Linked DNA regions of Styela clava. The protein of the gene in region 1 interacts with the protein of each later gene in a biochemical or structural test. Links are inferred from orthologs where the notes say so. Each region holds a gene or a part of one and is shown in the gene's direction. Other genes may lie near its edges. The genes, in order: nuclear pore complex protein Nup155-like and uncharacterized protein LOC120347097.

Region 1 (8,494 bases):
TCATATTCAGTCGCCTAATAGGATTTATTTTTTGACACAAAAAATCACCTTTTTGCCAAAAATTGACACCTCGCTTTTGAGCGGCTAAAATAGCGACTTCTATCGACGCTAACTTCACTAAAAGACCGTCAATCGCTAGAGGGCATACACAATGTACAAGGAAAATTACAGTGATCACGAGATGTCGTACGAGATTCAAGTAAAATATATTATTTTGATTTAAAAATTTCGTCAAAATATCGACGTTACGGTGCTTACGCTGAACGTGACGTCAACAACGTGATTCAATTTCGCTTCATTTAAGGCCGACGTCACATTGCGTAGCTCGTGCGTAACTCGCTGCGACATTTGAACGCCAGACTATGTGGCGCCACGTGTAGTTAAATATAAAGTGAAAACTCCTACCTGATCCTCGTCACCAAATCCTACAAAAACTTAATTATAGCCCCGGTCATATGCTGTTTATTTATTGTGAATCCGATTAATGCACATTAAATTTGTGTGTTAACATTTCGGCATTCTTCGACCGTATAGATGTTGTTGATACGTAAGGCTGATGAACAGCCAGATACGCGTATCTATACTATCACAATGACAAGGTTTTACGATCGGCGATGATAATATATTAAGAGTAGAATGTTGCACAGGTGAGCATGAAACTCTGCACAGGTGCACACAGCAGGAGATTGGAGGTTTTTGGCGTTTTTATCCGTTTCATGTCTATCTGCCTGTGAATACATTATATCTGAATTATCAACACGGCCACAAGCTACACTGTTCCATATTGTTGTCCACTTCCATTTTTTTTACTTTTACTACCTACCGTAATTCATCATCCATTTTTCTTTTTTATTATTTTCATTCGTTTCATTTTTGTTTTGTATTAAAAATTGTTTTCCATTTTTACTTTTACGACTTATTTTATTCGTCCGTTTTTTATTTTCATTTGTCCCATGTTGTCTCATTTTTGTTTCGTATTGAAACGATCATAATAGCAAGATATAGCACTTTCATGAAATTAAGAATAGTCAAGAGATAAATGGTTTAGTTTTGCGAAACGTCAGGAATAGGGCTGGGCAAAATTATTACATGCGTTGTATTTTGAAGCATTTAGCGGTAATAATTATGGCGCGACACTGTCAAAATCGTCGAGTAAAGTGCTGAGTTCGCAAATTCCGCAGATAAAATTGTGAATTAGTCGGTAACGGTTTTAGCTATAATAACCGTTGGGGTATTGTTTTGTTCAAAAAAAAAGTTAAAACTTGAGGGAAATAGTTATAATTAGTGTCCGACCCGCTATCAGGACCAAAAGCCTTATGACAAGTATAAATGCATAACGGCCGATTTATTCAATCATTATTATAAATAAAAATTCAGTATTCGCACAATCGCGGGTGCAAAGCATAACAACATCAATCATCGTCTTAATAAATATCTCCATCTCGGCGACGATAATAATATCACCGTTCGCTTTAAACTCGAACGATTAATAGTATACAAACGGTGATAAGTAAGATCAAAGCCAACACGTAAGATTGAATCAGAACAAAATTAATTTGGGTTTTGAAATCAGTCCTTCTTGTCTTCAAGAGCTGTTGCCGATGTAAACACACGGGTACACCAGATATATAAAACTTTGATGTCCGCCGACCCGGAAGAATTAATAATCACAAAAACGGCCGTCATAGATGAACGTCAGTGTGCGACACGCAAAACGAATCACGGCGTCGTAAGTTCTACGCAGCGACGTTATCACGCGTCACTGATCACGCAGACATTTCTCTCTCACGACGAAGTGACGCAAAGCGAAAAGTGGCCATCCGAAGTTATAAACATTTGGAATACAGATCGGCAGGCAAATAAAGTCAATAATTTGAATGAAAAAAAGTATTGATTGATATGAAACCGAGTTTATCGCGAGGAGAAAGGCTTCAATGTATTATATTCCAAGTTTGGCTTCAATTGAACAATAAACGGCGGAGAAATTGTTCATAATATAGTGAAATCATCCGAAGTTACCTGCTTTTACGGTACCGGTACCCGTAATAGACTTGACGTACCTAGTTATTGGACAAAGTGGCACATTATATTTCTGTATTCCTGTATTCAGGTGCAGATAATACATGGGAATTAGGTACAGTCTATATTTTAGCCGATTATTGGTTATTTTTGAAATTTTCAACCCAAATTATATCCATAAAAAGTGACCAAAGTTACCCTAGCAGACATCTCTCAGCGGACATCTTTCTCGTTTTCGGAACGGTAAAATAGCGTTGCCAGAAAACGATTTAACATGGCACTTAAATGCCGCATCGGAAAAAAGGAAAGATAGTCGCAAAGTACTTGCCAGATTTACGGCGGAATTTTGCTATACTCGGAATTACAAAACACTTATTTGTAATTTCCGATGGCCTGGCAGATTTTTGAAGTTGATATAAAAAAAGAACTTATATTGAAGTCATCCTAATCCAAGTTTTATGAAAATTATATGTTGGAAACATATAATAATACATTGTCAAACATGGCCAAAAAGAAATTTCACATTAAAATTAATAAATGTCGGCATTTTAACCCCAAATTCTGTACTTTTCGATTAGGTGCCCCACTTTTAGATAAGACATCTCAAACAAACATATTGTGAAGTCATTTGGAACCAAGTTTGAGAAAATTTGTATGTCGGGAACATATAATAATATCTTGTCAAATATGGCCGAACCATGAATTTTACATCGAAATTAATAAATATCAGTATTTCAACCTAAAAGTTTGCACTTTTTGATTATGTGCCCCACTTTTAGATTAGATATTCCAAAAGAACATACTGTGAAGTTATTTGGAACCAAGTTTCAGAAAAATTGTATGTCGGGAACATATAATAAGATCTTGTTAAACATGGCCCAAACAGGAATTTTACATCAAAATTAGTAAATATCGGCATTCGACCCAAAAATTCTGTACTATTTGATTACGTGCCCCACTTTCAGATAAGATATTTCAAAAAATCATACTGTGAATTCATCTCGAACCAAATTCCAGAAAAATTGTACGTCGGGAACATATATTATTATCTTGTCAAACATGGCCCAAACAGGAATTTTACATCAAAATTAGTAAATATCGGCATTTTAACCAAAAATTCTGTACTATTCTCCGACCAACCGACAACTTGCTTTAAAATTTCACTTCCGGACTGGCGGTATTAGCTGGGTTAAGGGCATTAGTCGCAAAATATCAGGATATTGACTGAATGAGATATTTTCTCAATTTCAAACCTTTTTCAGTACAGCCCAGTTACAGAGTTAGGTATCCCATTCCAAGATTAACCCCCACATTAAAAGACATCTATTATAACAGTGAGTGCAAACCCCTTCTTTACGAGACAGACTGGGCTTACATATTGTGAAAAAGAAAAAAATTTATCATATCATTTTAGACTAGAGTGTTCAGCGAAAAAACTCATTTTTGGTAGGTTACTCAAATCTGAATCTGCCGTCATGCCAGACACTCTCGTTTCAGAGACAGACAGAGTGTTTGTTTCATTGTACCAAATGTTGACACATTTTGGAACACAACTGCCCTACTGTACCGTATTTGTTTTTCATTTAATGCTATGTACTGATGTGAAGTTGCATTGACTATTGAAAGGCTCGGCGGTGTGGCGCATCGTGCTAAGCGTTAGGAATACAGGAATGGTTATGTGCCAGAAGATTACTGGACTCCTGGGGCAGTAGGGTGGTTTATGTAACCACTGGTCGGTTACGGCTTCCTCCACCATCAAGTTCATGCTTCCGAATTCAAATAACTGGCTAACCAATCCCATACCCGACCTGAACTGGTAACAGAACAAGAGGCCTTGGTTCGCCGTATGATTAAGCCATCTTATCGCTTTCCTCTCCCTCGGGATAAATATGTAAATCTTATCCTAATTATTGTTTTTTGGTACTAGAATATTGAATCCTAGTTTTAAAGTTTTTCACCATTATAAATAAACTAAAAGACAAGATGAAGATTTTCGTTTTGATCATTGCATGCGTAGCGCTCGTGCAGGGTAACATCTGTGGGAGGCATACAGTAACAGAGGAAACTTATACAACAACTGAAAGGCGCCTGTCAGATGACACTGCCTTCATTGTGAAATTCAAGTTACAATGTAGCAGTGGAGCTCAAGGATTTCCACTGTTTGCAGAAGTTGGTGGAAAAATATATCCTGTTACCAAATCCCCAGAACAGAATATTTATCAGCTAAGTTGGGTTACAGAATCTAGTAATGCTGCAAGTGGAACCTACAAATTACGTCTCTTTGATGATGATGGAATGAATGTTCTCAGAAAAGCAATGAGAAATGAAGAAGATACTTCTGGTCTTTCGTCGCTATTTGATATTGAATTCAATCACCCTGGAAACACAAGAGATTTGTGGTTGACATCTGAAGTTGTTGGTATCTTCGTAGCTGTCCTTATCTACTATGCAGTTTGTCGTTTGCGGAGCGAAGTTATGGATTAATTTCACATATATTCACTGTAATTGTAGTGAATTTCAAAATTGCACATTTGAAAATGCAGTCAAAATTACACTTGAGATTTATTTTGCAGTAACTTTTAATTAAAAATCATCGAGTAATCTATCAAACAATGTTAAATTTATAGTTCATTACACTTCACTTTATCACGAACTGATTTCACATTATAATTTGTCTCTTTTCAATTGTAGTTTAGAAATTGCTTAGTTTTCTAATGAAGTTAATAGATTCATGCATTTATCTGTTTAGTTTGATGAAGTCTGGTTTTTTAAATTATAAGGGTGTCCCAAAATAAATGGAAAACATTATTTCGATTATCAATTTTGTGGTTGTCATTTATTTTTGGACACCAGATATCTGTCTATTCGTTGAAGCATCAAAGCTATAAAATATAAAGAATTCGACTCATTTTGTGAATTTGGAGTAAAATAAACAGTGTCTTCTAAAATGAAATTCGTGTTTTTTGGAAGAAATGTTTGTAATGTACTGTGTGAGCAATGTGCGTTTTCATTATGATATCAACTAATTTCTGAAGCATCTATGTTGTAGTTTTCTCATTTAAATGAATATTTCAAATTTATTGATGTTGCATTTTTTTCTTGGTCGTCACCTGATGGTATTTCTACAAATTTTTTTCGAAAATTTAAATAACAGTTAATTTAACTGCTTTATTTCAATGTGCTTTTTGTTCAGATTCTATCTTATGCTAGGTCTGTAACTAGTCCCTGAATTTTAATGGCAACAGCTACAAAGAATCCTTTGAAAGAAGAGGTTCAAGATGCTGCCAATTTTGTACAAACATTTCTTGCGGCGGATAGGGAGCAACTGGATTTGTCTGAGCTTATTTCTGCAACTGGAATAAGTGAGTCAATATTTTTTGTGCCAAATTTTTTTAATTAAAAAAATCTTATAGGATTTTTAGTGTATTATTCTAGCATATGTATCAATGCGGTGAAATTCGTGGCTACTGTCTAACTTTCATAAAATGAGCTTGGCAATTGGCAAACATCTTTTTGTCTGCATAATTAAAAATGTTGTTTTTCAAATTAATTTCAGTTTCCACTGAAAATTCTGGCACTATAAGTCAATTAATTTTTCAATTATTGATTTTTCTCTCGAGTAGCCTTCTTAATTAACACAATACTTTTTCATTTTCAAGGTTCTGGAAGCAGTAGCGGAACACATGATGAAGATTATCCAAATTTACGATTACCTCAACTCACAGATATCCGAAACAAACCACTGCCTCCCGAATTAGTCGAACAATTTGCACGTATCCTTTGTATATAGATTTGAAATGGATACGGTAATTAGAATGCGCTCAGCTATGTCGTATTCATAAATATTTTTTCTTGGGTGTCAATTTTTTAATGATGCAGAGGGATGTATTTCATGTGCCTAAACCAATAGAGTAAATTGAACAAAATTATAGCCAAAATCTGGGTATCAAGAGTTTACATAAAATTTACACTGGCTAGATATACAAACTCAAGCTTTTCATAAAACAACTCCGACTAGTTTGATATCCAGTCTAGGTTGGTGGAAAGTTTGACCCAGGCTTCAGCTCGAAACCCGTGAAAACCAAAGTTTGACAACAAAAATTAGAGTTTGGTACATGAAAGCCAACTTCCATTGTCTGTTTAGAATGCTAAGTTGACTTACTGATTCTTGAGTTTCTGTCAGAACTTTTGGCTTCAATTATCATCATTTGAAGTCTAAAATTCCCACTCCGAAAAGTTAAAAATATCAACTTCTGACTAAGGGTGGTTTGAAAACACAACTTCGGCCCTGGCATGGCAAGATAGAAATCTTCTTACAATAGATAGAAGATAGAAATCTTGGTACAACAAACGGAAAGATTCCAGTCTTCAAAAGTTCTATAAATAGGCCTATTCATTGCTTTTCATAACCCTGTTATCAAGATTTGACCATTTTTATATACTGTACGTCCGTACGTAAGGGAGGCCTGGTCTCATGCATTTCTTAGTTATAATAGTTTTCTGTGTAATAACTCAATGTTATATTGTATATTAGTGGTATATAGGCCTATATATGATGAAAACATGATTTCTTAACATCACACTAATATAAAGATATGCAATGCAATTGCATTGTTGGTATCTTTCCCGAAATAGGAAGAGCATGGTTGACTGTGGATTCTGATATATTTGTATGGCGATATGCAGATGGAGAAGATCTAGCTTATTTTGATGGACTCTCTGAGACAATATTAAGTGTTGCACTAGTCAAACCCAAACCTGGTGAGCATTGGATATTTATTTTTTTATTTGCGCACTTTTAGATTAAAGGAGAGTATTAAGCTTCATCAATACTCTTTAATCAATTACTTTTTCTTTATTGTACTATTTGTACATGAGTTGTACATGTGTGTCATTATTCTCAATTTTTGTTTGTGTTGTTGCAAAAAATTTGTTTCCTCGCCAGTCGCCACTTGAGGGACCAATCGATTTCATATTTTCTCTGAGCCTTGTGCACCTTTTAACTCGCCCGATATTTTTCTGTTATATTTTAATATATGGGAACACTTACATGACAATATGGGAACACCTCATGTTCATACTTTTTATATGCTTCTCTTGTATTTATCAATTAATGTTCAATATTGCAGGTATATTCAGAGATCACATCAAATATCTTCTAGTCTTGACAACACCGATGGAGATTGTTATTCTGGGAGTCAGTTTTGCAGAAGAAGGTATTGTTTAAATATAACTTTCAATTAGGAGAGTGAACGAAATCATCTTACTGCCCAGATATTGCTAGAGAGCATGTGGGTTTAAAAGGGTTTCAAACAATTTCGGGAATTTTAACCCGAAAATGAAAGTCACTCTGTCATAAAGGAAATCTCATTCATTTCTCATATACAAGACTTTTTTACATTTTTGAGTTTATTGGCATCCACTAACATTCAAGCATCTACTAGTTTGGAAGGACCATGATCTTCAGAGTCGGCTTTACCTTCCCAATTTATTCCTTCTCTTTGAAAGATGGTGGACATATTATGTTTGAATTTGAAATTTGTAACCTTCTATGCCAGCATAGTTAGTCCAACATTCTAACCACTAGGCCGCCGCATCCAGGTCTTAGCGGAGAAGATTATGTCAACATGGTCTGGAGTATATCTCAGCAATATTGAATCATGCAGAGACTTATGCCACTGAATTATTATCTTATATAGATTTTAGTTTGAATTATAGATATAAAGCTGAGTTATAATTATCGTCTAATTCTTAAATTTCTAGATGTCAACGGCGAGATGCACTTGCTACCAGATCCATTGTTCACATTAACTTCAGATAATGTTTATCTTGTTCACACTGTATGTACTGAAACTGGCAGAATTTTCACTGGTGGTAAAGATGGATGCTTGTATGAAATTGCTTACCAGGTTTGGTTTTGTATTCTGTTTAAATCAGGTTTTTCAAACTGGGGTTTGCGAGTCTAACAGTGGTTCTAGAAGTACAGGCTTTTAGGTAGTACTTGGGGGCATCTTGTGAGGTTTCGGGTCAATTGTTTGATGACTTTGGGTACGCTATACTCCAAATAAATACGCCAGATGAAAAATGTCACGAGCAAGGGATAATCAGAAAGGGAACAAAGTTAGGCGGTTCTTTTATATTAATCAAAGCAAGAGTGAATACGAATGAGCAATACTTGTTAGTTTCCAATGAATCAAAATATTCCATTTTACCTGAATTTTCCAACATTGCTTATATATTATATCTTTAGCTTTTTATTGGTGTTTCACTTTTTGTATTACAGTAATACTAACAGTAGAATTCAATCAGAATTGTTTTTTTTTCAGGCTGCAGGAGGATGGTTTGCTAGAAAATGTACAAAAATTAATCATTCCAGAAGTAAATTATCATTTCTACTTCCAACTCTTGTCAATTCATGGCTCACAGATGATGGTGAGACTTTAATTTTAATGTTGTAATGTAATGTTCAATTTTG
Region 2 (8,874 bases), on another chromosome or scaffold:
ATTTTTATTATCCCGCACTTGCAACATTACGCTTTCAAATTGTGGCTTTGACTCATCTTTTCTAACGCCTAGCTAGAATGCTCATTCCACGTTTTATATGTGCCGGTTGTTTGCTTGCCACTGTTCATTGGGGTGTTGGATACTTGTCTGTTATGTACAAGTACCTCTAATTATTTGAGATTATCTGGAGCGGGCTAGTTTTAGCCAAGCCTACATGTCAGCGCATTCTGATAATATATTATATTGTTGGAATATTTCACAAAGTTTGTGAATCGTATAGGACTCTGCTCAGCGTTAAAATATTCATGCTCAGTAAAACAAACATTTTGCTCAGTGTAACATTTCCTTAGAAGAAACACAGCTGGTATTACAGATTCCATTACTTCACATCACAATAAATTGGGTAAGCCATGCCAAACTAGGAAAATTCTGGTTTTTCCAAAAAAATAGTAATGGTTTGGTGGTAGCCGCATCGTGCTAAGCATAGGGAATACTCGTGCCACTGTATCAATGATTGCCCTGCGTGGGTTCGCAGGTTCGAATCCTGTGGGGGTAGGATTATGTGCGAGAGGATTGCTGGACTCCTCACCGCGGTGGATGGATAGGATCGGATTTACATATTTATCCCGGGGGAGAGGAAAGCCGATAAGACGGCTTATCCATATGGCGAACCACGGCCTCTCGTCCGGTTACCATTCCAAGTCGGGTATGGGATTAGTTTTTACTGTATTGTTTGTTTTCGGAAGCATGGACTTGGTTCACGTAACCGCTTGTCAGTTAGGACTTCCTCCATCATCAAGTCCATGCTTCCGAAAACAAATAACTAACTAACTAATCCCATACCTGACATGGACTGGTAACAGGACGAAAGCGCACTGTTTGCCATATGATTAAGCCATTATATCAGATTTCCTCTCTCCAGGATAAATATGTAAATCCTATCCAAATCGTTGGATGAAACTTTTAAAAGATTTATATTTATTTAATCCTAGATATGCTGATGAAAATATACCAAGTTAAAATACTGGTTACAAAGTATGAGATGAGTGCTACAGAAGCAAAAGCCTCAATCTATCAGACTAAAGGAGACATCAAGAAATGCATGAAATGGGTGCGAAGCAATAAAGAAAACTATGGGGCTGTCGAGATATATTCAAAGTTATTTGAACATGAAATTGGTATGTATCATTAACTCTCTTTTTTTCTCATGTTTTGAATCCCAACTGGGTGATAACTAAAATCATGATACTGCACGTAGCAGCATTCAACTTTGAACTTATTCTTCTGTATAGCTTAAACTCAAATATAATATTACGTCAATCTGTAACAAAAAATGATAAATTCTATTTAATTTTTCTTCCCTCCAAAACTCTGGTTTTCTTCTCAATGTTAAGATTCAACCCTAATACCTGTAACTGATTATTTCTTATAGGGCCTTCCAGAAGGTCCTACATTTTTTATAGTAATGTCCAAGTTTCCTATATCATTAAACATTCTGAATTGCATTTTGTTTCTCAATAAATCAAGCAATCAACATGAAATCATGCTTGTCTAAAAAAAGGGTCCGCAATTACAAAGAATACATTTATTGACACTGGAACAACAAAAATTTATCGCATTCTCTTATCAATGAACTATCTCTATTTGCATACAAAAATGATGACAGTCCATTCCCATCACATTGCAATTGTTGTGAATCTATAGAAAATTACGAAACAGTAAAAACAGTGCCTCGATTAATACCTGGATTGCCCATACTTCTTGCGATTCTTGAAAAATATATAAAAATTCTCTTAGATGAAAAAAAGTTAAAACTTTTCAATATTTGAGCAGACTAATAAAAACTATGTATGTGCAGTAGTTTTTAGGAGTCTGTAAATAACATTTAATTAACTTTTTAAGCTGAAAAATTTAGAACTTTTTCTACTATATTTACTGTGAGAATTTATTTCAAAAATGGGTACTGCGAAAAATGGGTACCAGATTAGGGTTAGGCTACAATTTTATTCTGATTTACCTTATTTTAGTTCTATTACGAGTTCGAGACTGTCTGTGTTAACCAAGTGAATATCGCCCTGACCATAGGTTTCAGTCCCTTTACACACTTTGGTGTAAAATAGGCAAACAAAATTAGTTACCTCCATATTGGTACACACACTTCTGGACCGCCCGAAAACGACCTAAATAGGGCCTTCCAGAAGGCCCTTTCAATTGAGAGTGTAACATGCTTTATATAAATGTGCATGGTAGTTTATTTTATTTTTACACTATTCACATCACCCTGGCTTACAGTAAATTGATAGGCAATCTCCAATTCTCTTTTTTACAGAGGACAAACTGATTGGGCAGATAGTCTTGACTTCAGAACCTGAAACCTCGCCATCCTTGAATAAGAAAAGTATGGAAGACTTTCAGATGCATAGGTGAGGTTTGGTATATGATTCAGTTTTGTCATGAGCAGGGCTTGGGAGCTGGTTAGGAATCACAATTACTCCAAATCCATCTCCACAGTAAAATTAATCTGTGGCTACAGCTCTGGAGCTTCAATATTCCTCGTAGCTGACTCAACTTTTCAAGTCAAGTTTAACGCCCGAGTTCATGCTCATGTATTTTTATTTTTCAAGATTTTAACGCCCGAATTCAACAATTCGCGTATATATACTTTTCTTTCTCAAGAATCAACGCCCAAACTTTTTGAATTTGTGTCTTATTATCAATGTATATCTTAAAACTAAATGTTTTGTGTATCAATCAGATCCGATGCTACATGGTTCACATACATTAACTGTGAATCTTAATAGTGAATTTCGGGGAAGCTGACTTCGATGATCTTATGTTTGTATCTGTATCGCTCCCTCCAGTCTATAACGAATTGATTTTGTTTATATTTTTTTGTACCATTGCTTGTTCTCTGGTTGACGAAATATTAATCTCTCTCTGTCTCTGCATATCCATTGATCACAACCATAAAACGTTGGCACAATTTTAAATTAATCTTTGAAGTTTCAGATATCATTCAAACCTGGAAATTTAGTTTAAAAATATAAGTTCCAAAGGATAAATGGTTAAACCGTCTTTTCGTCATTCCTCTCCCCCGAGATATATAAATCCTAATGAACTACTTTCTGTATTGCAGGTCTCAAAAAGACGTTTCACAACCTGCCAATATTGGGCAGGGCTTTGTTCCAAAGATGAGTCAGTCCAAAACAGTGGGCGCAGACGGAGGGGTGATTACTATTGGTGGAAATAAAATACATATACCCCCCGGTGCCTTGAAAAAAGAAATTCATTTGGATATAACATTGAACCATGAGACTGACAATGTATCTGATATCGGGGTCCCAATTACCCCCATCCTGTCGTGCGTCCCTCATGTTGAATTTGATAAGCCTGTTAAAGTCGGCCTCTCGACTTGTTTTAGCGCGATAGGCTCTGATAAAATTTCAGCGATTGTTTTTGGTCGTAAAGATGTTGATTCGGAATGGAAAGAGACACAAAAATTGCGTCTCGGCCGTAAAAATTATCTTGAATTCGAGGTTTTGCATTTTTCTGATGATGTCATAGCGGTTTCGGAAGAAGATTGTGAATTAGGTGAAATTCATCTTATTAATGATGTTTTTATTGAAAAAGACACCGAGTATGTTGCGTCGTTTTTTTTCATTGATTTTACGTTTTACGAAAAAACACGGGAAAATTTACGAGATCGAAATATCGTACAAATCCTTATGAGTGAAAGAGAGATGATCACGAAAATGGGTGCAAAGATAAGTCTTCGTATTGACTGCAAGCATCCACAATCAACTGCAATGACATCGTGTGGTAACCAGACAGTCCAAGTCACCCCCTCTTTTCTAAAGAAACGAAAGCACGTTGTTTATTTCACCTTTGACCCCGAGCTCGGAGAATACAAGGGACGTATCAACATGAGATATTACACAAGGGTTGAGGGAGAAGAAGAAGAAGTTTCTCCTCTCGGAACGTCATGGCCGATTGTCGTGAAGAGTAAGTATTAAGAGTTTCGTTTGAATTTTGAAGACATGATAAGAAGTCAATGAAAGTTTACAAACGATTCCAAACTTTCTATTCGTATTTCTAAAGTGGTCTTTAGTTTATCAGGGTTTAATATTGTGAAGAGACCCGTCAGGCCGCCCCCTGGTTACCGCTTTGTATACACTTGATTTTCCTAGCAATTTCGTGGAAAGAGATTGGGTTATTTTTGTGCATTTCCTACTTGTGAAATCTAAGCCTTATTTTCTCCCAATAGGTAAGAAGCTTCGTCCTGAGGTATTAATTCCTGTATTTTTTTACAGTGGATTCACCGAACATTCATTTCACTTACGACGCGAGTACAAAAACAACAGCTAACGTCATAGCTACTGAGGGAGGGACTGCAAACGTGTCAAGCAAGAATCCAGTGTATAAAGCTGGATGAGGGAATTTCTGGACTCACAAAATATATTATTTGAAATTATTCCATATGAAAAAAATGTTAACAATACTGTATTCTGTTTACAACATCAAGTTCAGATTTATCAGCAAAACTCCTGTTCACTTACATATATTTGTTATCACGAAAAGTTCAATTTTCAATTGAAGCATTCTAGGTGTGGCGCATCGTGCCCACCGCCGCACCTCTGATTAGCCTGCGGGGGTTAGCAGGTTCGAATCCTGTTTAAGGATAAATATGTGCGAGAGGATTGCTGGACTCCTCATTGATGCAGGGTGGTTCACGTAACCGCTGGTCGGTTACGGCTTCTTCCACCATCAAGTCCATGCTTCCGAGAAACAAATAACTGGCTAACTAGTCCCATATACGACATGGACTAGTCGCTGACAAGAAGGCATGGTTTTCCTGGATGAATATGTAAATCCTAATATTGTTAAGATTGCTAGTAAAGTTGATGCTTTTTGATATTCCATAGAAAATTTTGAGTCAAACTCCAATCACAGCCTTTTTTATCAATTTGCATTTTTTATCATGAAAAGTTCAAATGTTTTACACATACTATGTTCCGGTGTTCGCCATCTTGGTTCACATACTCCGGGAGTTCCAAATGTTTGATATTTTATGTTCTTGTTAACCATGAGAGCCTTATTTGCTATGACTGTAAAAAATAATAAACTAATCAAATCACTTTTATCTGCAATCTATTTGCTTAATCTAATTTCTAAAAACTGTAAACAATATAAAACCAACTACTCTAGCGTTCATCTTAACATTCCAGCATTTTAAAATCCAAATTCATTTGATTTTATCAATTTTTATGTGTTGTTTGTTCTATATATCAGATATTTTAAAATAATATTTGTATTTTAATGTATTTGGAATAATGAATTATTAGCCATTTACTGTGCTCTTACTTTTCTCATTTAAAGTTGCAGAAATTCAAGAATTGCCAAAAATGTAGAGTTTTCACATTTTTTTATTTCTTAATTACACCTTATGTTTTACTTTATATATTATTGTCTTCAAAACCCAATGCAAACTCTCTGTAAACTCTTCAAATTGTAGAAAATTTATATAAACTTTGATATCTCATGTTTCAAATAGGTTTTATATAGAATTAGTTAACAAAAACCATAATTATGCCTTCACCACTGTCGGTGATCGAATCTTTGAGAAAAACAGAAAAAGGCCGATTGAAATACTATAACGAATGGACAGCAAAGGACTTAGCAAGTGATATTGCGTCGCCAAAAATACGTCGAAGCACAGAAGGAATTGTTTTTGAAGTGTCGTCGATCCGAGCGGCCCTCGAAGCAATTGATGATGACGCAAATGTTCATGTGGAAAATGTTGTCGCTGAGGAGAAAGCGAAATCCCGGCTTGAAATGAGTGGGAAAGAAAAAGAACTGGATGAGAGATTTAGAGGTTCGTGTTCTTCATAGTGTATAAAGTGATTCTAGTCTCACATCATTGACCATCTCATAATTCGACGCTCCAGAAGTGTGTGTACCAACATGGAGGTCACTAATGTTGTTCGCCTACATTACATCAAGTTGTGTAAAGGGACTGAAACCTATGGGCAGGGGGTATATTCACTTGGATAACACAGACAGTTCCCAAGTTCGTAATAGAACTAAAATGAAGAAAATCGAGATAAAAATATGGCCTAACCCTAACCTGGTACACATACTACGGGAGTACCCATAATTCTATGCTACAATTTCTTATTGGTTGTCAGTGCCTTTTCTCAGATACCATTCTCTTTTATTTCCGGGTGAGTTGTTTCAAGCAAATATTGAACAAATGAAAGCTAAAAAAGGAATGCATTATGGTCACATTACATTATTGAAATCATAAAAAAACTGAATCGAAAAAGGAGCGAAAACTTCTTTGTCATCGCTTACCCAATTTATTTCATCCGTTTGTTTTGGGCGGAAACAGAAAGAGACGCGAAGACTGTAAAAATTCTCTTATAATCGCACGTTTGTTTCAAAATAGGCTTTCTGGTAATTGTGAGCACAAAAAGAGGAGATATAACATAGCTATTGAATCGGACTACGGTATGGACTTTGCAAAAGGATTGGAAATACTCGCAAGAACCAGATTAAACTAAATTAAAAACTTTTTCACACTATTCAATATCGGCACTTCTCCGTGTGCCGCACAATTTTTCTGTGTAGGGCGCAGGTTGCATACCCCTCTCTTCACTATGGCACAGAAGCCTCTCAGCCGACAGTGACTCACATTGACTAGTTTTTCCTAGATGTTCCTATTTTTCAGATTTTATTGATGTTGATGCGCCGCTTCGTCAGTATGAAGCTGAATTAGAGGAACAAAAACGAAGGGAAAATATTGAACAGATGAAAAAACAGGAAGAATTTTACGCTGAAATTGAAAGAAAAACACAGGAAAGAGTCAGAAATAGGAGAAAAGAAGAATTGCAGAGAAAATCTAGGGAAGAGGAGAGAGTGAGTATCATAGATTGTCTTATTGCTATCTATCTCAGTCTTTCCCCCTTGATAATGCCTAACATGTTGTCATGGAATCATGTTACCCCTTTATTCTAAAAATATAACCTTGGCTGCGCTGTTCTGTAGTCGAGTACTTTTTTACACAAAGTTGTAGAGCTGAGGGAATATTCACATCCCACTGCAAGCTATTCAAACTACCAGACTTCGAATTCCAACTCAGATTGGAAAAAAAATTGATCTCATCGTGTAGGAACTTCTGACTGTATCTCCAAAATCATAGGCCATGCATGTGAAATGCATAATTGGTTAACTATTTTCTCTCCCCGTGCCCAACATGGACTGATAACCGGACAGAGTCGTAGTTTGCCATACGATTAGGTACTTAGGTACATTTTTTTTGGAGCTCCAGAAGTATGTGCACCAAGATGGCGCACAACCTGAACGGAGTATGTGTACCAGGTTAGGGTTCAGGTTGTGGGCCATCTTGGTGCACTTACTTTGGAATGTTTCATTTCCCCATTCGATGTTCACCTTGTTTAGATGAAAAGATTTTTCCAAGAAGCCGAAGAGAGTGCATTGAGGATTCGCCGTGAGATGCAAGCGCACCAAGATCATATTATTAAAACTAGACAACAGGTGAGGTGGCTGCACCCCCTTTTAAGAATTTGTTTAGTCTCGCACCCAACATCAAAAATAACCAGCTAACAATAAGCTACAAATAAAAGGCGAAAGTATGTTTCATTCAAAAAATACTTTGAAAATTTGTGGATTGAACGTAAATATCCAAAATAAAAGAATGTAAATATCTAATTAACCTAATTAATTACATTCTCTTTGGTCATACTGTGAGGCTTTTATAATTTTTCAACTGAAACTACAGTATTCTTAATTATACCTAAAATCAAGAATTTTGATATTAAATACCGTATATGCTCGTTTTACCGCCCGATCTTGATTAAGGGCCTGTTTGAATAGCCGCCTGTGTGAACAGAACATAAAAATAAATAGGGGCCGGTGCTCGAATGACCGCCCGATGTAAAAGCTGATTTTGGTAGAGAACAATAGGAAATAAGAAGCGCTTTTGTCACAACGCTGTTGAATTTTAGGCGCTGATAGATAACACTCACGCCCAACGCATCCAATTACATAACAGATAGAATTGATTACGTAACTGATTCCAAACTGGGCGTTGCAACGCCCATGTGCGTCGTTTCAATATCGATAGGACATCGCAAAACTTTTCTTTTTTTGCGGATTTGTACCTGCGGTGCGTAGAAAAAGTCAAAATTTTCGTTATTCTCGTTTAAATCATAATTGATAACTGGAAATGAAAATATATTAATTATTGTAACGATCGATCTTATTTGAAAATAACAAGCGCCCATGCTTGAATGAGGGCCGGTTTGAATAAGGGCCCGGTTAGTGAGTTTGGTTAATAAAACATATGGGCTCGGGCTACAAAACGAGCAAATGCGGTATAAACAATTTTAAACTATTCCTAATATTGGTTTTGGACTCGATAGGCCTATATTCAGAATAGTAAAACATTTGGTTATGGTCATCCCTGCCTCCACTTTAAATTTCATTCCGCCTGGCTGATGAGTCTCACTTGGGTAATTTCAGATTTTCAGAAATTCAGATTTTATTTTTTTTCTGGCTAGACTGCAAATCAGTCTTACCTGGTGGCCCCAGCTTGAGAAAACCGACATTTTAGTCATCCCTTTGACTTTATTTTATGTCCGACTTATCAGTTTTACTATTATTTCTATTCAGGAAATGGAAGAGAGAAAACTCAGACTTCAACTTTTGCAAATGAAAAAGCAGAAAGAAGATTTTGAAAAACTTGCGAACCACATGAGTGGAATTCAAAACATACAAAAAGATTGTTTGGAGAGGATTAGAGAACTCCCACAAAACATTGTTGCAGAAATTGGGAACAGTAGAATTCCAATTTTT

The links.
Region 2: the proteins of nuclear pore complex protein Nup155-like (region 1) and uncharacterized protein LOC120347097 form a complex in vitro, tested with the Homo sapiens proteins (2 studies listed by BioGRID). The link is inferred for Styela clava from reciprocal best matches to the Homo sapiens genes NUP155 and GLE1.

What each region holds. Positions count from the first base shown.
Region 1 is NC_135255.1:15,087,372-15,095,865, reverse strand, and holds the start of nuclear pore complex protein Nup155-like, read left to right. Parts: upstream 1-5,241; 5' UTR 5,242-5,254; coding exon 5,255-5,381; intron 5,382-5,678; coding exon 5,679-5,792; intron 5,793-6,612; coding exon 6,613-6,780; intron 6,781-7,148; coding exon 7,149-7,235; intron 7,236-7,782; coding exon 7,783-7,928; intron 7,929-8,345; coding exon 8,346-8,451; intron 8,452-8,494. Other genes in the region: translocon-associated protein subunit delta-like, read left to right, coding at 4,003-4,503.
Region 2 is NC_135260.1:1,246,066-1,254,939, forward strand, and holds the start of uncharacterized protein LOC120347097, read left to right. Parts: upstream 1-5,458; 5' UTR 5,459-5,586; coding exon 5,587-5,872; intron 5,873-6,727; coding exon 6,728-6,915; intron 6,916-7,458; coding exon 7,459-7,554; intron 7,555-8,691; coding exon 8,692-8,874. Other genes in the region: uncharacterized protein LOC120347098, read left to right, coding at 993-1,178, 2,330-2,423, 3,137-4,002, 4,311-4,432. UniProt on the Homo sapiens protein: Required for the export of mRNAs containing poly(A) tails from the nucleus into the cytoplasm. May be involved in the terminal step of the mRNA transport through the nuclear pore complex (NPC).